Drosophila melanogaster: one gene and its partners. The gene in region 3 interacts genetically with the main gene of each other region. Each region holds a gene or a part of one and is shown on either strand. Other genes may lie near its edges.

Region 1 (6,847 bases), 8.7 Mb from region 3:
GATAAGCGCCAGTCTTAGAATTTGTGAGCAGAAGTCTGCTGGTAAAAATTATAATTTTTCAGTTTAAATAATAACGACAGTAAGTTGGGTGCGTCGGCGGTTCTTTGCCAGCGAAGGCCTTAAATTCATTTTCAAGGCCTTTTATTTTTCATTCCTTTGCGGAACACGAAATATTTAAAAAAATCGTAAACTCATTTGAAAGTTTTCTATGTCCAACACCAAACTATTTACTCGGCAGCTAAAAAAAAAGCTTTTGAGGGTGAGGATTGGGGGTTCGAATAAGATATACGTACCTATCTACACTATAAAACTGGCAATTACCAGTTTATTCCCGTTTCTTCTTTTAACTTATTTATAATAAGCTTTTATTGGTAAAATTAGGGTAAACAGTTTTAGCATAAGGTTTATTTGGCTAACATTACGTTTAACTTTTTAATTATTGAATTGTTTTTATTTACGTATACGCTCATAGAGTATGTTTACAGAAGTCTAAGCGAAAAAAGCCTAAAATGCTAATAAGCATCACAAAACGTGAGCATTTGTCCTGCGTCTCACTCTTTTACTCCGTTTTATATATGTACGTGTGTAAGTACATAAGACGTTCTTTATGTAATACTTGTACATACAATTTTATATAGAGGGGGCTGCCAGGATGAAGCCTTTTTTGGCTGTTGAAAGGGGCACAAAGAAGAGAAGGCGTCAGTTCCGCGGCATGGCTGAACGGGAGGCGATTGGTATGAGTGGGTGGCGTCGACTTTCTTTCATAGCATTGTAGATGTTTGCTCTCTCTCTCTGGAGATTAAATGGAAAAAACACTGTGACATTTTCTGACTGCGCGGCGCGATTTTTATATTCGTTTTTGCTCAGCTGCTGCCGTTGCCTGCAGACGTAAATTTAAATTCCAGTGAAGGGATGGATGAATAAAGGGGGTGACGTGGGGAGGAACGTGGCGACGGCATTAGTGGGGCGTCTTGTGGCAAATGTAAAATAATGCGAAAGGGCTTCGTTTGCATAAATTAAAAATTTATGTAATGCTGCCCGTTTTCTCTTTTACGAAAAATCGAAGAAAGCTGTGGGTAATTTTCTAAAGCGGGGTTGCTACGAATATTTTTTGCTTTACACAATTATCTCATATGTATATACATATATATACATATATATATTTATATTCATTTATTTTTGGTTTCCCAGACAGCAATTTTTAAATTTAACATAATATATTTCGATTTTTATGTAATAAATACATATTTGCCGATGTATACATATGTATTTATTATTGATATAGGTAGAACATTAAATTAGAGAAGAAATAGTTATGACAAAAAGTAACAGTTTCGTTTACTATATGCTAGACTGACATATCTAATGCAATCATGTACCATAAAATACATTTTCTAGTTTATATTTACTGACGTATTTTACAAGGTGTATGTGTGTATGTCTTTAAAGGGTTAAAATTAGCAACCCCCTAATTAACACATATAACTCTTATTTTTTGATACATTGCACATCCCTAGCCACAATTAGGATTATAATTTATTTACATAAAAATTGACTTGTGATTTTATAAATTTAATTATATCTATTGGGTTAAACGTCGAATGTTGCTGTACACAATTAATATGATGTCTTTCGTGCGCTGACTTTCAAATGATTAGAAATGCACTCTCTATTTTAGTTTATAGCTCTTGTATTCTTTTAATCTTGAGGAACTTGTATACCATACATTTGAATGAACAAAGAAAATTACATATTAATTTGTTACATTATTATGACTACAACGTTTTAAAATAAAAGCAGTAAGCTTACCAATGAATAGAACGAAAAATTGCACTAAATTTATTTCAAATTGTTATTGTTATATACAACCTTATATACTTTTATATGTAATTTGAATTGGCCTAGTATTTAAAATTAATTTCTTATTTTAGGTCCATTTAAATATGCATCAAAATTTTAATACATATAAATTGTTTATGCTTCGTAGTTTATATTCCTAAGTCTTGTATATAAATTCAGTTGAATTGTACGATTGCCAAATTGTTGAATGTATATACTGTTTAGCTCACAACAATTTCGATACAGAGGTATTGGAGGTATTTGGTTATAGCAATTTCTTCCTGTGTATTTGGTTCAAGTCTTACAATTAAAACTAATAGTTACGAGTGTTAAGATAAGTGGGATTACTATACTTTCGATACGCATTGATCTACATTAGGTTATTATTTTGGAATATATATTAACGTTTCTTATAGTTTGCAACAAAAAAAAAAAGATTTTCAAAAATGGATGCGTAAACTGTGTTTAAGTTATGGCAATATGAAATAAAAGCGGAATCAGTTAAATATTAACGTTACCATTGATTTTCTTTTTTCTTTATTGTTTATATTTGAAGCAGCAACAATTAAACCAAATATTTATTGAAGTATAAATATAAAAGTGTACATTTAAGAATGATCTTTAAAAAAACAGGATTAACTAAATTTTTATATTTAATAATAGTTTTAAATAGAGAATGCAAACAGAACAATTATCAAACAAATGTTTTTTATTATTTAACTTAAAGTTAGTTTTGATTTGAAGATTATTGGCATTGTTTTCTTAAAGAATTTGATTAAATTATAAAAAATTAAGCTAATAAATTAAATAAAATTAGTTATAGATTTCCTAATTAAACTTCGTGTCTTTTATTTTTCTGCAACAATGCATGTTTAGAGCGCCGATTACTTTACAATTGGCAGCTGTGTAAGCTGAATATGTACAATTTAAGATTCCGAACCTAAGAATATAACTTAAATTTAAGGTAAAGAATGGCACGACATTTTCGATTTGATTTGGTGGGGTTTGGCGGTAACAAGCATACGGTATGGCTTACTTTGTACAATTTCGACTTTTTTGTATGTTATTTTTTTTTAAACTTGTACTTATCATTATATTCCTGTTGCAACAATTTTTACTTTCCACTTTGAAATAGCAAAATTTTCAATTTTGTGTTAATAAATGCCAGTCAATTTCATCAAATGAAAACTGATTAGGGCTATGTACAATTCGGTGTGGTACTGGCCTAATGTTGTTGATGGCCCATATAAGAAGCCGGGGCATCATCTAAATCATACAAGTCAATATCATCGGTTTGCTCGTGAGATCCGATAGAGCGAGGAGAGTGCATGCTCAAATCCTCTGGCTCGGTTTGCTCAGGCATATCACTGGGTACGTGAGGGATTTGCGGTGGAGGCAGCCGGAAAACCCGACGAATGTCCTGTGCCTTGCGCCGTGCGATGTTGCTGCAATGGCCATCCACAGAGCTGGCTCCATCTTCAGACAAATCCAATGGACCATCGTCCTCCGGTGTCGCTTTTTCCATGTCGACCGACTCATTCGAACCTCCGTAGGTGGCACACATTGCCGCAAATCTATTCGTGGATGCCTCGATAGCAATTGCGGAGATTGCCACGGGGTAATCTCCACTCATGGCCGGTGAAAGCGCGGGAGTAGGCGGCGACTGGATGCCACACTTGTGATTCATCAGATGGTGGCGCCGTCGGAACTTCATGTGACACCGTTCGCACTCGAACGGCTTTTCACCGTTGTGTACCAGCATGTGGGACTTAAGCTGATTGGAGTCACTGAATTTGCCATCGCAGATTTCACAAGTATAGGGACGCTCTCCAGTGTGGACTCGCAAATGTCGTCTAAGATTGGCCACCTGAACGAATTGACGATCGCAGTGCGAGCAATGATATGGTTTTTCTCCAGTATGCAAACGCATGTGGGTTTTTAAGTGATGGTCACGAGTAAACCGCTTGTGGCACTCCGGACATTCGAAAGGCTTCTCACCGGTGTGGGTGCGTTCGTGGTTCTGAAGCACGTGCTTATAGCCAAAGCTGCGTGAGCAGATTTTACAGGTGAAGCTTTTGTCGCGAGATGGATCCTTGGAGACACCGACACATCCAGCATTTCCACCCGCTCCGTCGTGCGTTGAATTAGGAGAGCTGCCACTGGAAGGCGGAGATATTGGGCCTCCCGATGTATGGTACATATCGTTTACACTCATGCTGATCTCGGTCTGAAACTCCTTCTTAACCGATAACTTTCGAGCCTTCTTCGCTGGCTCATGGTGCTGGGGAGTGCTGTTGGGGGAATTTAATGGGTGCTTGCCACTACCTAAAGGAGTGGACAGCGGCGAGTGCGGGCTGGCTGGCGGCGAATGTAAATGCGTACCCTGGGGCGGGAGCGACTGTTGGGCAGCCCAAGCCCCAAACAAAGCCGCCGGATTGTGTGGAAAGAGAGTGTTGGCCAATGTGCTCATGGGCAGTTGGGCCATGAATGCGGCAGCTTGACGGTTTGCAGCCAGAAGTTGGGTAGGTGAGAGCATTCCAAAAGCTGAGGCAGCGGCCGCCTGTTGGAGACCCATAGCTGGATAAATCGCAGCGGCGCTTGTAGCTGATGTGTTGGCCGACATGGGGGGCGATAGCGACATGGAACGGTCTAGATGAACGTCCTCTTGTTTTATGCCAGCTAATGCAGCAGCTAAGGCTAAAAAAAAAATCATAAGTTAGTATGTTTTCATTTGGAAATGTCTTAAGAGCAACGGCTTAAAAGAGAAAAAAATTTTACATATGATACATGTGTGAGAGAAAGTTTCGTACGGAGAGAACTCTTAGTGTTTTCGCAGCTCTCTATTTTCGTCTAACTAGTTTTTGTTTTGGTCGATAACGAGTTAAGTGCCGGTTCCTGTCCAAACATGTAAACAAATTCTAACTAATCGGTATGTGTGCAATTACATTACATTTGTATTTTCTATCCTAAAGACATCGGACTGTTTAATAATGAGAAAGTGATCGGGGACTCTAGAACTTCTAGATAGTTTACAAACTTGGGGAATATTTTAATTTGGTCTAATACTTACTTCGCGTTTGTGCGTCTTGAAGCATTGATATGGACATCAACAAATTCTTCTTGTGCTCCTAATTTTGTGCTCGCGCAATGTTTTCCCGCACACAGAAAACACCTATAATATTCGCCTTCGTGGTTTTGGAGCTTCAGTTTTTTAGACAACAAAATTTCATTTGAGCAATTTGTGCACTTTCAGGGATATGAATAATTTTTGTACACACTTTTGTACTTTGAGGTAGAGAGATTTCACAAAAATTGTCTTTTATAAAAGTTTACCGATTTAGCAAAATGAGGTAGTTGAAATTTGATTCGATTATATTACTCGCGGTTGTGTGTGGCACAACAAATGGTTGTTCCTTTCGCTGACAGAGCCAAATCACGACTGATACAAATTCGCTGCGTGAGCTAACTATAAGTACGCTCTGTCTCGGCGAAAGATTCTCACTCACCCTCGTACGCACACACGCCGGGACTCAATTGGCTCTCCCGCTCACACGCACGCAAATAAGGGTGCAGACAGGAAGGGAAATCATCACGGCGAAAGCGAAAAACGATCCCCAAGCCTGAGCAGGTAAAGTAAAAACTGGGTACTTCGCTGAGTTGAGTGAGTTGATTTCATCGATTCCTTTTTATACCTAAAAGTGCTAATTTTTCATATGCAAATTGGTGCGAATGAGACAGCTAGAGGTTCCTTTCAATGCAAAAGATATATAGTCAGTTAGAGTCAAATATGGACGATGTGGTTTTTTAACATAGGTTGTCGATGCGAATTATCTTCGCTGAGTAGAGGGTTTTATGACCTTTACGTTTCTAGTCAGTAATAAAACATAAAAAATCAGAACTATGTGTTGACCGTTAAAGGACATTTTTTAATGCTTATGACCACTTCCGCTTGTGTTTTTTAGAGCCTTCATAAAAACTGCACTTGCAGGAATATTACACCACATAAAGATCACGTAGAAGTTTTTAGAGTTAGTAAGGGACGCACAACAAAAACTCACTCAGATGTGCCTTTGTCATTTCCCCTTTTTACATTTGAGCTATAGAAAATAACTAATGTGTCTAAGGGGGATGAACGCCAATGGAGAACAGGGCGAAAATGAAACAGCGAGAGCAAAAGAGCCAAAATTCATGAAAAGAGATGTCACGGACGGGGTTGAATTTCAAGCGTGCGCTGTACGAGTAAACAGGAAGTAAACAAAACATCGGCTTAAGGAGTGCAGAAAGTAAGAAAGAAGGTCGACGGTTTTTTACCAGCTATACTGAGTGAGTTTTTTGTCTTCCTTGTAGCCTGTTGAGCAAAGTCTCAAAGACGTGGAAGTTCAGTTTAATGGACAACTAATTATTGGCACACGTCTAAAAAAGAAATCGTAAAAAGGAACTAGTAAAAAACGGATTCAGGTAGAAAGGAAATATAATAAAAAATTGTAAGAGAGCTGCATCGTTGAAATTTTCTTGCTTGTATAGACGTTTTCTGTGACTTTTGCGGATTGACTTTTAAATGGTTTTATGTAGATTTTTATGGCAAGGACATGCTATGTTAAATTTATGTTGAAAATCGGTATTTTTGGTTTTGTAGGTAGGCCAAGGACGCTCAGAGCTCACCGGGTGGTAAATTTGAACTACCGTGGATTTTAAGAAAGTGAAACCAAACAAAAGCAGAAAGGCACACAAATATCCTTGCTCTGCATAATGTTACGTAAAATTATAATGGTTTTGTCATCGAATGTTCGACTTCATAGAAAGTTTTTCACCAAAACAAAATTCGCAGAAGGCATTAAATAATATGCAAGCAAAGCGCTTAAAACTGACCCTATTGATAAGAAATTCTTAAATTTCGGGCTGAGCTGACCGGTTTTAGAAAATCTTCATACGATTCCTATGTTTCGGCGATTAGTCAGAAATTTTTTTTGGTTGTTTGCGTGATAAGCAGAGGCTTGATATTGAAAGA
Region 2 (4,557 bases), 420 kb from region 3:
ACAACGCAATGCCATAAAGTTCAAGCCAACAACACACACAGCGCCACTTACTCACTCTCGCACACAAATAAATAAGCAAGCGAACACAGATACTAAGGCGTTGATGAAGACGACAGACAGCAGATACAAGAGCAACAACAACAAACAGCGATCCAGTGCCGGCTGGTTGGAGAATTGGACAGCTGCCGCCATGATAGATACGATACTCGCACTCCGGCCGGCCTGGCCAAGTATTTCTGTACTTTAACGGGCCACGGAGAAGCGCAAAGCAAAAAGAATTGGTACTAAGAAAAACAAGGCGACTGAACAACGAAGTGTTGATCCCCTTACTAACTAACTAACGAATACAAAAAATGAAATTTAACATCAGTTACAGTTTATAGAAAAGGTAAACTTTACATAAGAATGCATAACCTAACTGGTTAAAACAAACATAATTCAATGAATTCTTGTTATCTTTTGCTGGCAAATTGGTGCCTAAACTTCGGCTGTCTCTCCTTCAGCACAAGTTGTTTTCATATTATCATATTATCATAATCAAATTTCAAAGTTTATATCTATATAATCATTTAAGTATTATTCTTGCATTTAATTTGCTAAAATTAAAAACAAAAGGCTTTCAATCTATCAATCCAATTAATTGCGTGGGTGCCACAAAGAGAACTGCAAAAGTGAAAAGTTAAGTTTTGAGTCATCAAAAGCGAGAATGTAAGCCCAATGACGAGCCATCATCCAGATGCGAGGCCAAAACAGACATTCTTATAATTAGTGAAAAAAGCGGGCGAAAAAAGGGTCTGCACTTGACACGCAACCCGGGAAATGGTCGCTCACTCCCACACAAGCGCTAATAGGACAATCCCAACGCCCCCCCCCTCCACCGGGACCGCCCTCATCGTTGGGCCAGCAACAAATTGACGCAATCTGATTAAAAACGCATCAAAATAAAACTAACTGGTGGCGAAGGGAAACCGGGGAAATGGGCGAAGGGACAACAACCTATGCTAAATGCTCGTAAAAGTAATTTTGTTGGCCCACACACACAAACACACTTGCACGCAACACACACACGTGCAGAGACACTCACACAGAGACACGTAATTTAGGGGTGCTGGCGGAAGTGAAAAGGAAACATCTAGTCCTCTTAGAACAGCCGACGTCCCCTTTTTGCGTACGCAGCATCCGCAAAAGAGTGCCGAAAACTGAGTGGTAATGCCGGGGATTTTCTACAGTAGGCACTCGCGAATTGGGAAAAACGTATGATAAACCAAGCCAGTTTAAACAGTGGCAAGCATAAAGTTAGTTAAAGCCTATGCCGAAATATTATATAATATAATATGTACATAAATAGATAATATAACACATTCAATCAAAAACCAACGTTGATGAGTTAATCCGCTGAATGCTAAATATTGTGTCAATAAGCTATTGTACGTATTGTTCACACATTCTATGCGTTCTTGCGTCTGAAAATGTCGACCTATTTATTTTTATGGTAGTAATAAGTTTTTATTGCTTTGCCAACAATTGTATATTATGTACATGTGAGTTTTACGTTTTAAAGCAGAAATTGTTTACTCACATTAAAACAAATCTAGAAGAACCTGAAATGTAACTCATTTAAAAAATTTCATAAATGGTCGCAGTAAATGCAGTTTTAAACTTAACTTCATTTGGTTCCTGCGCACCAGGTTCCACTGTACTGAAACATTGGTGCCGTGTATGGCCAAAAATCACAGTGCGGGCGGAAACTGAGTGCCGTCATCAAAATACGCACACACACACACACACGTTGGAGAACACGGGGAGAGAGCAAGATAGAAAGGGGCAGACAGATGAAATCAGAAAAAGGAGAAAAGGAGGAGGAGGCAAACGGAGTGACAGCTGCCCCATTCGCATCCGGGAAAAAGTGGCCGCTAAAATCATTTGTTAAGTGCGGTGGCCATGACAACTGGACCAAAAGTCGGAGGGTCCTGCTTCTGGTCAGATTTTTCAATTTTTACATCTCCCTCTGTGCAGAACGCACACACATATGCAAGTATTTCCATCATCATCCACACCAGCAAACAAAACAAGAACAACAGCCGTGTGCAGCCTCCTGCCCCCTTTTACACGCAGAGAAATAAAGTATAGCAAGTCGAAATTTAGTCGAAATACATTTTAATGCAATTTTATTCATCCTCTTGCTTGATAAGGCTAAATAATATGCTTTTATAAAAACAGACTGCGTTCGAGACCCTCAGCGAAACTTTTTCTAACGAGAATAACTTTTCGATATCAAAATAATTTATTCATTATTTCGTCCAGTGCATCCATTTCGCTTCCGTGTTTCGAAATTCAATTTATGTATACTTTATGGAGCCGTAGCCGGCTCCCCAAGCTCCATTTCGCCCCCCCTTTTGCCCAGTGAGGCGGAGAAAATTGTAAGTTCAGGAAAATCGATTTTCTTGTTGTATTTTTTCTGCCGTTCTTCATTATTTTTTTGGCTGGCTGCAGACATGGCTAATTGGAGTTCTTTTTGTTGGCATCAGCTCGTGAACTGAATGCTGCAGTTTGCATCTTTACTCACCTCGTTGCGCTATTTTTAATGCACCGGATTCGGATTCGGATTGCCTGTTTCGGGGATTCGATTCGGGACTCTCCTGCCCCACTTCCCCACTCTTTTGGCCAAAGAAATTGCGTCCAGAGAGCGACACTCACACTCGCACGCACAAACACACGCACGTACACACGACTGCAGCAATGTTTCTCTTCAATTGCAGAGCGCTTTTTTATTCTATTTTCACGAGCTCACTCGCGATTTTACGCACTTCTTTTCGGCGACAACTATTTCGTTTGAGATAGTAATTCCGTGGAGTAATTATGCTTCACATGCTGCCTGTTTTCCGAACACTTTTCACTTTTCTTTCTTTTCTATGCAGCTGAATGGGAGCAGAAAACAAACGCAGCCCTAACGGCACCGAGTTGTGGTTGTTGTTGGCTAGGCAGTGTGACCGCAACTGAGGGTGGAAAAGAATCCGTTGCGGAAAATATACCGAAATGTATCTTGTGGATTCATTTGCAACAGCTGCGCTGCCACAACCATCGTGGGTAGCTAGAGATGGCACAATACCAATTCGATATATGTACAACCAAACATATTCATTCCATATTTAAAAAGTTTTCGGTTACTTTCAGATCCATTCAATTAAAAGCGGTTTATCTAATTTGTCCCCATATGGTGGTTTTCCATTTGACCAATATTATGACGATTTTTTAGATTAATTGTATGATTCCATCTATATGTAATGCATTTTACATGCTAACGTAAAATAGCATGCAGCTAAGTTCGAAATTTCGAACCCAATGGTCTGGCAACGCCAAAGCGGCTTACCGGCTGTTCAGGCGGTATTATTCGGACTTCATGCGGTCATACTAACTGGAAATTACTTAACATGCTGCAAGGAATGCTCCAAAGGCGAGTAAATAATGAATATACCATTTATTTTGAGTGGTATAATAACATACATTGGCATTGCAGGACCTGCCTGGCGGTTGTCAGCACCGCACAAACTCTAATCGTGCGGGATAAGCACGCTTTCAACCGGGCGGTGCTGAAACCGAAAGTACGCTGCCATTTTCCGAAACCCATGGAGGTGAAGAGAATTAATGTCCACGGCTGGAATGCTAGGATGTCGACGCCTGAGGGACGACGAGTGCTGATGAACCGGATCCTCAAAGGACGTCACAATTTGTCACACTAGCCTTGTGTTAATAAACCTAACTTTATTTACAATGTTATCCGATTGCGATTGCTACAGTAAGCTCAGTTTTAGTTTCGTTGATTCGCTGGTACTCCCAGAAAGGCTGGCGCTCGATGGTAGATCTGCTGAATACTCTTCGAAGATTTCGAATCGTCAAGGATGAACACGAAGGGCACACTGCTGGACACACCTTGGCCCTGATCCCGAAGGAAGCCCTGCGGCAGGGACTGTTCCCCGCCGAGGATAAGACAATCCACCAGGGACATCTTTTGTAGCGGCATTGCTGGCACCAGGTATAACTCCTTGCGCTCGTAGTCGATGGCGCGAACCACACCTAAAAGAATTTTGGAATTCAATTAATAAGCCACAAAAGAACGTGAATGTGTACAAACCTATTCCCAAACATTGGGGCAGACCTGCTCCGTGATGGCACAGATATACTACATTAGCCTCCATGCCTCGAATCAGTTCTTCGCGCGAGTAATTCTTGCTGGTGGGATGCAGGATTTTCAGGGATTCCAAAGACACTCCCAACGGCTGGCAGTCTGTAAGAGATTTGGCATTTCCAGTCAGGCAGGAACTGAGACGTGCCAGAAGATTGGAGTACCGCATGTCCTTGGCGCTGAGACTCCAAGTTCCTTTTTCCCTTGCAGGCACTGCACTTATCAGCTTATGGAGTGTGTATTTTGGTATTTCATTGATCTTGAACTCCTCCGCAGAGTATATAATTGGTTTTATCTGCGACAGACTGTTCCGGTCGAGGACAGAATCAAAGTTATTGATTGGAATGGGACTGGCAATCTGTACAAGATCCGTG
Region 3 (4,570 bases):
TTTAATTGACCGCAACTAAAGGATTCCGAGATGAAGAAAGCGAAAGAACTAAACAAAACACATCCCATCTTTTTCCCACACATACATACGTGTGCGAGTATGTGCTACGTGTGAGTGCGTTGTGCCTTTGTTTGTGTACGTGTTGGGGCATACGCGCTGTGCAAAGTGCGCTAAATTAAGCTGTCATTAAGGACTTAATTAAAGTCCTTTGTTGAAAGTTGACATTGTGTGAAAGAAACGTTTGCGAAAACAAATGACAATGGCGACGTTGTCGCTGCTGCACTTGAAAGGCTATCCCCCGAAAAAGGGAAAAAAACCCAAAAATGGCAACCAACATCAAAGCAACTACAAAGCGGCAACAACAATGCGGGCTAGAACGAGAGTGAGTGTGAGAGAGGGAGAGGCAATGAAATAGAGGGATAGAGTGAGTGAACATGTGTCAAAAATTTTCAACAGTATCATGATGCAAGTGCTCCTTTGGTCGCACGGTCGGGTGCGAGGGGGACGACTAGTGTGGTGATTCTGCGAAAACTCATTAGCAGGCAAACAGAGAGAAAAGGCCAGGCAGACACAATCAACCAGTGGCGTGCGCAAGGATTTCTTGTGGGGGTTAGCCAATGATTGCGATCAAAATTATTAAATTTTAGTTGGAAACGTTTGCACTATATTATAAGTTTCTTACCTTTTTTTTCTTTGATGGTCACGTACCACCTGAGCTGATCAGTGCCTCAAACAATCATCATTAACATCTCAGCTGAATAATTGAATAAACTACAGCCCCTACGCCACTGATGGAAACGAAAGCACGCACAGGTGGCACCCGTACAATAGAAAATATCAAGGAGATGCGAAAACATAACCGACTTGCTTTTTAATTAAATATTTTGCCAAGCAGACACTCAAATGCCAGAGACACTAGCAAACTGCGTTTAATTGCCGCTCGAGGCTGCTAAATGCAAGGATTCGTCTGCATACCTGCCATCCATCCATCCATCCTGCCGCCCGTTTTGTGTGTGTCTGGGTTGGCAAATGTTTGCCTATTGCCAAAATTGTCGTTGTCCTTGTTGTCCTTGCTAAAAATCACTTTGCCGCTTCCGCACGGTGAAGTACGAAAATTGAATACCGCCATTCTGCAACGGCATTTTGTGGCAAGGAGCAAGGATTATATCGACAAATGAAAATCCACGACGCTCCACGAATATTAAACAAAGTTTTGTGTCAACAGTTTTTACCTTTTCTTAAGAATAATTTAAGAAATAGTTAAAATCGGCTTGAATACGTCAAAGAAAATATTATATTATATATTAACTAACTTAAAAAGCAAGCGCATTGTAAACAGACAAAAATAAGAAAGCATATTTCAAAGTTAGCCAAAATAAAATCTAAAACTTCTGATATAAAGAGAAAAAGTTATGCAAATTATATATATTTTAAATATTATTTTCAAACACGATCACCATTGTTGGTATATACCAAAAACCCAAACGCGTGACTGCGATAGTCATTCGACTTAAACGCGCTAGCGTTTTTCTCACATCTGCGCGATCGGAGCGATCGTGCGTTGTTGTTGTTTTCTCACTTCTACTTGTTGTCGGTTGTTCTTTTGTGTTTGGTGTTTCCGCTCGAGATTCTTGGGCATTTTACCAGTGTTCCCTTTCGTGGCGGAACTTGTTTCGCATCGGTAAAATATCTGAAATGCATTAGGCTTGCAACTATCTAATTGGCGTTTTGCAGTTCATTCAATTCGGAGTTCGATTTTCGAAATTCCAATAAACCGAAACTCCCAACAACAACTCAAGTGTGTATCTCTGGCTTTGTTGTTGCGTATGTGTGTGTGTGTGAGTGCGTGAGCAAGTTTGTGTGCGTGTGGGTTAAAGGCAAATTTTAAACTGAAAGCAAGGAAATATTTGCAGATTCATCATTTATTTATTGATGCAGTGCCTTGTAAATAGTATAAACTTTAAGAAACGCGCTCGTTCACCTTCCTTGTCTCTTTCCCACTCTCCAGCGTTGAGGAATTTTCATTGTTTCCCAATATTGTTGCTTTTTTTTTTGTTTTTCCGATGCGTGGGCATATAATAAACCAGTTTAACGTTTCCTTTTGCCTTTATCTTCATATCGCACATGCTTTCCGATGGCTAAATGCGTTGAAATCGAATTGAAAACCGAATTGAACACAGAACTGTGTAAAATGCATTACGCCTTTATGCGCCTGCAACGCATACATAATTAATCCGAAACGAAATTGGCACTACGACTGCGGGTCCAAAAAAAAAACATATATATATAAGGAGAAAAAAATAGCAGAGGGGTGCTATAAATCGCCCAAGGAAAGAAGTTTATTTTAAAATCCATTTGCCAGTGAAATCAATTCCATTGCAATTGCCGCAAAAGTGTGTAAAAATAATACAAGTTAAATGTGTTAACAGTTATTCGTGGGAAAAAACGTGCCGGTTTTTATTCATCAAACGGTAAAATCAACAAGCAACCGCCTCTCGCTCGCTCTTGCACTTTAATCCAATTGAGGTTGGTGGGGTCGCATTCGGCCCCCGGTCGACCACCCCTCTCGCTCGCACCGCCCTCGCAATGTCGCTTCTACAGCTATCGCCGCTCCTCGCACTCCTGCTACTCCTCTGCAGTAGTGTGAGCGAGACAGCTGCGGACTACGAGAACACCTGGAACTTCTACTACGAGCGTCCCTGTTGCACTGGAAACGATCAGGGGAACAACAATTACGGGAAACACGGCGCAGGTAACTAGCCAACTAACGGTATAAAAAGGGGCGGGAACACGGATTAAAACACACTTGTAAAATAAATTTTCACTTTTTGTGCCCTTTTTTCGAGGGGCTTTAAAAATTAAAAAAAATGTTAACAAAATCTTTTACTAGTTCACATTTCTTCGTAAAAACTATGTGAAATGTATGTTAATGTTCGTTACACTTAAAACTTAAGAATGAAAACATTATTTAAAACGCTATTTTACAACTTGATCATAACTTAAGTATGTATGAAAAAAATGAATTAAAATTGTTTCGCATTACTTATATTTTGTACAGGGTACTTAAATCGTCGGCTTACACGAATAAGACAGCTTTTTCCCCTTTTTTAACTGCGGCCAATATTATTTTTCAATCTTTCAGGCAACAACAAATTTGTAATTTATTTGCCATAATATTCGCACATGTTCTTTGTGCCTTTATTATTTATCTCGTTTGGTTCGATTTCAATTGCAACTATATTTTTTCGTTTCGGTTTGGGCCATTTTCCATTTCTGGCTCGGAGCATTGTGATTGTTGTTGTTTTTTATAATTTGCATATTAATGCGGTGCATTCATAGTGAATATTGCTGGTCCGCGCAATTGTGAATTGTTGCTATTCATATGCATATTTCATGTTTAAACAAATACCAATAATGTAATCATATTTTAACCATATGCAGTCCTATAATCCACAGAGATAAATCCTGAATGATATATAATTGACTGGGTTCCCTTAATCCCCCCCTCCCCTACCACTCTAGAAAAATGTGAATGCTTTACCATTTAAATGTTCAATCTACCTAGATTTTCCGCTGTATTTTTTTACAAGCCCTCTGTTTCGTAGACTTGGCCAGCTTTATTGAGTCATTAAAGCCTAAAAGTATTTAAAATTCATCTACGAGCGGCCACAAACAGGTTATTCACTTCTCTATGTCTAAGCCATGTTGGATTTTGCCAATAATTTTGGCCAGCATTCATTTATCATCGTGCGGTTGATTGAAAAGTTCCCCAGCATACATTGAATGTGGCTAGAGAACAGCAAAAAGCCATCAAGTATCAAGAACGCAGAAAATGTTGTATAAAAAATTTAAATCTCATTTAGCCAGGCTGGCCAAACAACAACAACAACAACAGCAATCCGGGTCAAGACCAGTAAACATTTTCTAATAGTCCACGTTCCGGAATGCCTGGCATGCCGTCCCCCTTGTCTCCACTATATCTTTAACTATAAGCCATAAGTGCAGCATAAAACTTCACGTGCCGACAACAACTTTTTGGTCCTTGCCGCATGTTGCGCTGTAAACTCAATAGCTAAGCACTTGCCCTAAAGGAAAACGTGAGACGATTAGGGAATCGTTCAAGCTGCTTGCGCATACTTTTCCGGGAGTTATATAGCAAAATCTATATGGGATAAGTCCGAAATGCATGCAGAAGGAGCTACAAAGTTCGAAGGTTGGACATTTGCACCAGATGCACTATATAAACCGATCGGCGGGCCATAAATTAAGGTAAAACCAACTAAACCACAAAAGCCACCGAACTGAATAACAACAAAACTCTAAAATGTCAACTATAAATTCCCCCGTTGATGCGGAATATTTATTGCATGTTTTTTTTTATCTTCTTCTTCTTTTACCCGTCTGTAAATGAAAAAGCACTATTTTCATTGATTTAAATGAAATTAATTGCACTTTATTTTAGGGTAGTACAAAATTTATGCCTCTCTATGGCATTTGTGAGTACCAATGCGGCCGCAACGTCCTCTGTCGCCACCTCGGCCACTTCAATTGGTTGACTCAGCGGTTTGAC
Region 4 (7,358 bases), on a different chromosome or scaffold from region 3:
AAGTTGACTGCCGCTCATATCGCCGCTTCTCGAGTAACTGAAACAGAGATCCGCGATTCGTGGCTGCACCGAAAGCAACAGATCCCAAAAAAAACAAAAAAAAATGCAAAATAAGGCAAACCCGAAAATGAATATATGCAGCGTGTGTTGTATGTACATATATACTCGTTTGTGCCATTATCAGACGAGTGGAAGAACACGGCTGCGTTTACCTGCCCTTCAGACTGGTCTTTATGGCAGCAACTAGGTGTTTCTATCTCATAATGTTTTCATAACTTGAATGATCGCATTTTCACATTAGAGCCATTTTCTCAATGAGGTTTACTTCCATAAGTAAGTACTTCAAATCGCTTGAAGAAGTCTGCAGAAATTGAGAATGCAGCCTTTGTTGGTCCACCCTAATCTACCTGATATGTTTACCTGACGACGAGCCAGCCCATTTGCAAGTCATGTGAATCGCTATAACTTCAGAAATAATTCCACAAATCGTCTTTAGGTTTTGTCGGTCTTTTTATTTCTATTTTATTCCATTTCATTTTTAAATTTTGGTGTTTTTCTGCCCTTATAAGTGCATTTATTTGCTATCAATCGGTTTGGTTTTGTATAGATTAAAATTTTGAATATTCTGAGAATTTAGTGTGGAAACTGGCGAGAGTTGCTTTACCTGATCAGCTTTTGTTGAATCGTTTTGGGTTTTTTGATTTAAGGTTGTGGGTAGGTAGATATAGGTATACATAATACATAATTACATATTAAATAATTGCTTTGCTTTTGTCATTTCTTATAAATGGTATTTGAAAATAGCGCAATGTTGCGTTTAGTAAAAATATATTTTGGTTTCTACTGCAGCTTACAGAGTACACAATAAGTATATTTATCTCATTTCACATTTGCTTTTGCTCAATATAAAACTCGCTTCAACGCCATTATTGTTTAGCTTTAAATGTACATGCATACATATATGTATGTAGATCTCTATATATAAAGGTTTGCATTTCTTAATTCTCTCTCAAGGCATTGTATTTAGTTTGTATGCTGAATATATATTCACTTTGTTTTGTTTTATAGTATATTTACGCTTTACGATTCGTTTAAATGTACAATTTTAAAACCGGCTTAGTTCCTTTCATTAGACGCTCCTGTTTGCTTTCTACTTTGTTTCATCCTCGCATCTTTTGTATTCGTTTTATAATAAATATCACAACGCATCCTGCAAATCTACACGCCCTATTATCATCATTATCCTTATCATTCTCATCATGCATCGTCGGTCGTTCGCGTTCGCGTTCGCGTTCTTATATTTTTTGAAAATATACAACGCGCAATGAAGAGGTTTGAAAATTGCACAAATTACAAGTACATAACATATGTACATAGCTCCTCGGCGTATGTAAAAGACATAGCGAAATCATAAATTAACCATAATAAAGATAATAATACAAAAACATTAGAGTTAACGAAACAACACATTCGTCACGTTTACGCATATTACAGCATATTACAAAAATGAAAACATCTCCTACAACTAGAAAAGTGCTTCGCGGTTTCCTTCCGTTGTTTGCCTGCCAACTATATAAAACTTAACTTAATCCTGACTCGGCCCCCATCCCCGTCCCAGATCCGGTCCGGTTATAAGCTGACCAGCTTGGACGGCTCGGCGGTGGGCGTGGGCAGCTCCAGCGGGTGCTTGTTCGTGGAGGAGCTGTTCGGTACGAGGGGTCCGGAGACGGGCGTTAGCCCAGTGCCGCCGTCCATCAGGGAGTCGAAGTTGAAGGTGCCGGTCGAGGGCGTCTGGATGGGCACGCCCTGGATCTGCGTGGGCCCACCCGCCTTGTTGTTGGCCATGGTGAGGTGCATCTGGCCCAGAGGACGCTGGAAAGCCAGCGTATTGGGCCGCTCCTTAGGCACCTTGTTATGCGCATTCAGCGTGGGAGAGTTCATGTTGTTGCCGATGCTGTTGATGTTGTTGATGCTGCTGCCGTTGGAGGTCACCGGGAAGGCGCTGCCGAATCCGCCGGGCGCCGTGCTCGTGATCGGCGTCTGCAGAGATCCCGACGAGGCGCCGGTGGGCGTTAATATCGTGGACAAGTGAACGTGCGGCATCGTGGACATGGGCGGCAAGGTGATGCGCTTGCTGGGCGGCGGACCGTCCTGGTCCAGGCTGGATCCTGAGTCGATGGCGCCATCGAGTGGCTCGTCCTTGATGTGCATCAGCAGGCTATCGATGTTCGCCGCCGGCTTGAGATCCAAGGGTGAATTGCTCCTCCCGGTGGAGTTCAGCGTGGCGTCCATGCCCGTAATCGTGCCGTTGCTGCTGTCGTTGCTGTTGTGGTTGTGATGGCTGCTCGCGCCGCTGCCGCTGCTCCCTGCACTCAGGAGTCCGGCCGGGGCAATCAGACCGTTGCAGGTGACCACGCTCAGCATGTCGGAGCGAATCTTTTGGCAGGTGGCCCGGTGGGTGGCCAGAAGGTACTCCAGCTGATTCTTGCTATTCGTCAGCACCTCGATCTCCTTGCGCATGCTCTCGCCCCGCTTCTCCAGCTGCTCCACCTCCTCGGTGAGCTCGTTGGTCTGGTCCACGCGCCTCTTGCGGCAACGGGCCGCCGCCTGTTTGTTCCGCTCCCGGCGCACGGCCCGCTTCTGCTCCTCCTCCGGGGTCATGTTCGTCGACCGGTTGGGGCGTCTGCCACCGCCACGACGAGCCGGCGTATTTGAGGTATTCGCGTTGCTGCTGCCCACCGACGCCGATCCGCGGCTAGAGCTCACGGCGGCCAGGACATTGGAGAAGTTGTTGACACCGCCGCCGTTCACGCTGCCCGCCATGATGTGGCCAGCTTGGTACGAGGTGCTGTCCGTATGGGCACTTGCTGCAGGCGTATGAAATAAAAGGGAGTTAGTAGACATTCGGAGCAATTCGTGCCAGCTTCACTTACAAGTATCGGTCGTGTCCTGCTCCTCGTTCATCTGCGTATCGTTGTACGAAGCGTTGGAGTCCTCGGACTCGCTGCCCTGCCCCAGGCTCAAATCGAATGTCTGCTGAAGTGGGAGCGACGAAACACCGGTGGGAATACCCATGCCCAGGACATCAATGGCATTGGGTAGCACCTTTGGCACTGCAAATCCCGCGCAACCAGCCACACGATCGGTCTGCGTGTCCGAGAGCAAGTGGCCCAGTGTGTCCTCGATGTTGCGCGTGGTGGTCGGCGTCAACGTGGGCGTCGTCAGTGTGAGAACACTCTGGCCGGTCTCAAAGTTGCCGAGCTGCAAGAGCAGAAAAGGTGCATGATTAGTAAAGACATCTATGAGTGCAAGTATCTGAGAAGATGGATTACTATTAACGCTCATTAAAGCTCATGACAAGCACGAAACCCTCTACAATGCCATATCAGTATACATATATCACGCATACGCAGTGTTGCCCGCGAATAGCTTAAGGATGTTTGGGAATTTATTCTTATCACATGAGTAATTTGGGTCGAGTTCAGATATCAGTCAACATCAAAAGCTATTGCTAAGTCTGTAAGACCTCTTGCTTATCCGTACATTTCTAGCGAATTAGCGAACGTGTTTTTGGCCAAACAAAAAACGAAAAAAAAAGAGGCGAAGAGAGATGAAGAAACCGAAAGAGAGGCGGCCAATCCATCACTTTGTTTATATTTGCCCACCCCTTTGTTGTTCCGCATTTGTTCTATTTTCGGCGATGATTAAGTACGCATGCCGCTTGCCAATTGTTTCGCGCCCAAATCTATCCCAATCTCGACCAGAATCGGAGGCATCATCATCGATCGATCTGTGGTACCTGCTGTAGGAAAAGCTCGTTGGCGAGGAAAGTGGCTATCTCACTGGCGTCCATTGCAAAGTTGTCGCTGTGGTTGTTGTCGCTGCCAGCGGCAGCAGATGTTGCAGTTGTGCTCGTTGTTGCAGCTGCAGTGGTGTTGCATGTTGCAGCTGCAGTGGTGTTGCATGTTGTGGCCGTCAAGGCGAGTTGCGCCTGCCCAGGGGTTTCGGGATTCCAGCCGGAGGCGGAGGACTGGGACTCGGAAGGGTAATGTTGCTGCTGCTGCTGCTGGTAGTAATTAATGGGCATGCAATTGTTGTTGAACTCCAGTTGCTGCTGCTGCTGCTGTTGCTGGTTGAAAAAATTCTGCATTTGGCAGACGGCGGCCATGGCAGCCGCATTGTTGCTGTTGTGACTGCCGCTGCTGGCAGCGTAGGCGCTGCTAGCAACATGGCCATAATTGTTGCTGCTGCTGCGCAGTGGAAAAGCATTGTGGGCAACCGATTGCGATTGCTGGTAGGCTGGCTGCGTGGGCAGTTGCCGTTGCTGATGACGCAACTGTTGCTGCGGCGCTTGCTGTTGCTGCTGCTGCTGCTGCATATGTTGCTGCTGTTGCTGCAGATGATGCTGCTGCTGCTGCTGCTGCTGCTGAGCAAAATGCAGCGATTGGTGGTAGTAGGGATGGTAGCACGCATTGTGCGTCCTACCGTTGAGATTTTTCATCATTTGTTCGCTGCTTATCGATCTAAACCTAAATATTAAGTATACGCACTCGCGTTGCGTATACGCACAGTTGGGCGGCTGACTAGTATTCGTTGGGGTTCTTAGCCTAGCTAAGCTAACACAACAATTGGGACAACAATGATATATGCGAATTGTATTCAAAATCAACAAAAACAATTCAACAATCTAAGAATCTAGTTACTAGCTAAACTAGAGTATATGTACAAATTGGGACTCTGTTCCCAAAGTTTCCTAACAATGTGCTGATGATCCTTTCTTGTCTTTATAATTCCGTTCGTTTGGATGCTCCTATGCTGTTTGTTGTCGCAGTGTTGTTCTAGTTGCTTAGAAATTCGTTCGTTTTTGGCTTTGTTTCATAGCTTCTTTTTTTTGTGTGTATTGTGTATTTCGTTTGCTTTCTGCGTTGGCTCTTTCCTAATAAAGAAAAAGGGTTCGTTTGATTTGACTTCTTGCTAGCTGCGAGCCGTGAGCAGATTTCGTATATGTTCGTTGTTCGATTGCTCAGTTCTTGAAGTTTTGGCTCTCCGGCGGTCTCAGCCGCTTAACGATAAGCGTTTGCTGATTTCGCAAAGGATTGAAACGCACATTCCGCTCGGCGAAAGCGCTCATAATCGACGCAGTTTATCGTAAGTGTGCGAGGCCCAAAATCCAGCGACACGTGTCCAGTTTAAGTCGCTCCACTGTGTGAGCCGCAAATTCGATTATTATATAATTATAGAGATTTACACGGACATGGAGCCTTGAGCTAGTTCAATTAATGCTGCATTTGTTGTATTCAGAAATTCCTCGGCCATGGGCAACGCCTCTCAACACAGCGAGTGTTATGCCTCCCTTTGCGCTTTTATTTCTGGGTTTGGCTATATTTACATATATATATATATATATATGTATATTCGTATGGCATATATATTTCGATCCACGCGCTTGCAGCCGAGAAATGTGCGTTGTTTTGCGTCTATATGTATATATGTACATATAGCCGACTGATTCGTTTTTTTTGCTCCTGATTCGTTTTGGCAATGCACGCGCACCGAAAACCCAACGACAATTGCAGTTTTCCAAATTTATTTTCGTTTCGTTGTTTGAGTTTCGCGTTTCGATTCGATGCGATGCGATTCGAGGAAAAGCGCGCGCGCGATCGCTTTTAATTGTTAGATATTTTCTAAACTTCGATGGTTCGTTGTTCGTTTGCGACTGAATCGCATCAGAATCTCCGGCGAGCGAAATTGGCAACGATCGCGATCGAGAGATCGCCGCAGATGTATGCATATATATGTATATATATACATATCATATATATATTTATATATCTTGAGAACTACTAGAGAACCCGAACCCGCATCCGAATCCGGAGAGCTGTCTGCTGTCTGCTGGGCGTGTGTTGTGCGAGCTGGCTGCTCAAATTAGAAGACAGCCGCTGGGAAATCAAATGATCCTAAACGCTGGCTGCTCTTAATTGAGCGGCTGCCCACACGACGACCACGCTCGCTTTTGCCGCATTCAAAGCGAAATATGTACATTTAGTTAGCTATAGTAGAATGTGGTGGTGGCTTATGTACATATGTATATGCTTCTGCTTCCGATTTGCCGAACTTGCCAGAGGCTCATTCTTCGCTTCCACGGAAAAGCCTTTCAGTTGCCCATAAATCAGGCCCAATGTTTTGGCCAAAAGCGATGATTCCGAGTAAACATAAGCTACATACATATATACACATGTCCGATTCGACAGATGTCCCACGAACAGGTGTGTGCGTGTGGCACATCCACATTAACTATGTTTTCAGTTCAGTTCAGTTCAGTTCAGACCCCCTGTCTCGCCAAGAGCGTTTATTTCCGTCGCCAGCAAGTTGGCCAATACGCTAATTGCTGGCTTTTGTTGTGGGCTAAGAGCAACACACACACACACACATACCAGTTGCACTGGGGCTACATTTTTGAAGTAGTATGCCTTCTTTTCTCTCCGTGCAGCGAGTTCGAGCGGCTTGTGTGCTTATTTATTTGACGATCTTATCGCAGCCGTGTTTCCCAATCCCAAAGGCCGTTCCCTTATTGACAGCAAACAATCGATTTTATTCTTTGTGATATATTTACTTTTTAATTTCGTATGCGAAATTTACTTTCAACTCGGCCGCCTTGGCTGTTTGGCCACCTTTGTTTGGCTGGCTACTTTCGTTTTAACCCACTTTTTTGCCATTTGAACTTGTCCCTCGCGAACATGAACCGCATTTAGCCGATGATGAATCAGTCAATTTGGAAAATGTACGTATGCAAAACAAGTGATGATATAGAATGCTGGCAATCAAGCGCGGCGAATTGAATTGTCTAAATTGCTTGCCAGCCAGCTCGGATGGCGATCTCGATTCTCCTATCGGAACGTTGGACAGAGTCATATCTCCGGACACCGAGTTCACATCTGGGGGTCAATTATGAACCAAATGAAACGAGCAGCGAACATCGAACAGCCAGCAGTGGAGAGTAAAAAAAAAAAAGAAAAAGTAAAACACTGACGTAGCGAAAAGCAACAAATTGCTGACTAATACACGCGACTGCTGCAAATTTGATTTGCGGGCGGTTCAAGCCAAACCAAAGTGGCCCCTAAATAAATGTATGGTGACTGCAACTTACAAAAATATTTCAAAACCTAAAAATTGCCACTTCCCAAAGGAATTCCCTGAAAACTCAAACTTATCAATTGCCTGTAAATCCGCGCTATCATTTTGATTAGACCATCAACTTTGACCTTGGCTCTAATTAGTTCAAAAACACATTCACATGTTTTTAAACGCTGGGCAGAGGAGGAAGGTGAAGATGCAACAAGTTGAGTGGCTAAGAAATT

The links.
Region 1: of Sema2a (region 3) and Kr, changing one enhances a phenotype caused by changing the other (phenotypic enhancement), as found in Drosophila melanogaster (one study listed by BioGRID).
Region 2: of Sema2a (region 3) and Dg, changing one enhances a phenotype caused by changing the other (phenotypic enhancement), as found in Drosophila melanogaster (one study listed by BioGRID).
Region 4: of Sema2a (region 3) and kay, changing one enhances a phenotype caused by changing the other (phenotypic enhancement), as found in Drosophila melanogaster (one study listed by BioGRID).

The regions. Positions count from the first base shown.
Region 1 is NT_033778.4:25,225,051-25,231,897, reverse strand, and holds Kr (kruppel), read right to left. Parts: upstream 5,288-6,847; 5' UTR 4,947-5,287; coding exon 4,910-4,946; intron 4,537-4,909; coding exon 3,065-4,536; 3' UTR 504-3,064; downstream 1-503. UniProt on the Drosophila melanogaster protein: Krueppel is a gap class segmentation protein. It is involved in the segmentation of the embryo and in the differentiation of the Malpighian tubules.
Region 2 is NT_033778.4:16,095,562-16,100,118, forward strand, and holds the start of Dg (dystroglycan), read right to left. Parts: upstream 3,004-4,557; 5' UTR 2,567-3,003; intron 1-2,566. Other genes in the region: mRpL34 (mitochondrial ribosomal protein L34), read left to right, coding at 3,432-3,454, 3,518-3,740; CG8414 (uncharacterized protein), read right to left, coding at 3,809-4,074, 4,133-4,557.
Region 3 is NT_033778.4:16,514,590-16,519,159, forward strand, and holds the start of Sema2a (semaphorin 2a), read left to right. Parts: upstream 1-1,560; 5' UTR 1,561-1,681; intron 1,682-1,864; exon of another isoform or gene 1,865-1,944; intron 1,945-2,330; exon of another isoform or gene 2,331-2,429; 5' UTR 2,430-2,586; coding exon 2,587-2,752; intron 2,753-4,570. UniProt on the Drosophila melanogaster protein: Ligand for transmembrane receptor PlexB. Plays a role in growth cone guidance. Required for both proper adult behavior and survival. Can function as a selective target-derived signal that inhibits the formation of specific synaptic terminal arbors.
Region 4 is NT_033777.3:29,787,296-29,794,653, reverse strand, and holds kay (kayak), read right to left. Parts: upstream 5,719-7,358; 5' UTR 4,502-5,718; coding exon 3,800-4,501; intron 3,262-3,799; coding exon 2,934-3,261; intron 2,868-2,933; coding exon 1,630-2,867; 3' UTR 541-1,629; downstream 1-540. Other genes in the region: sro (shroud), read right to left, coding at 1-18. UniProt on the Drosophila melanogaster protein: Developmentally regulated transcription factor AP-1 binds and recognizes the enhancer DNA sequence: 5'-TGA[CG]TCA-3'. May play a role in the function or determination of a particular subset of cells in the developing embryo.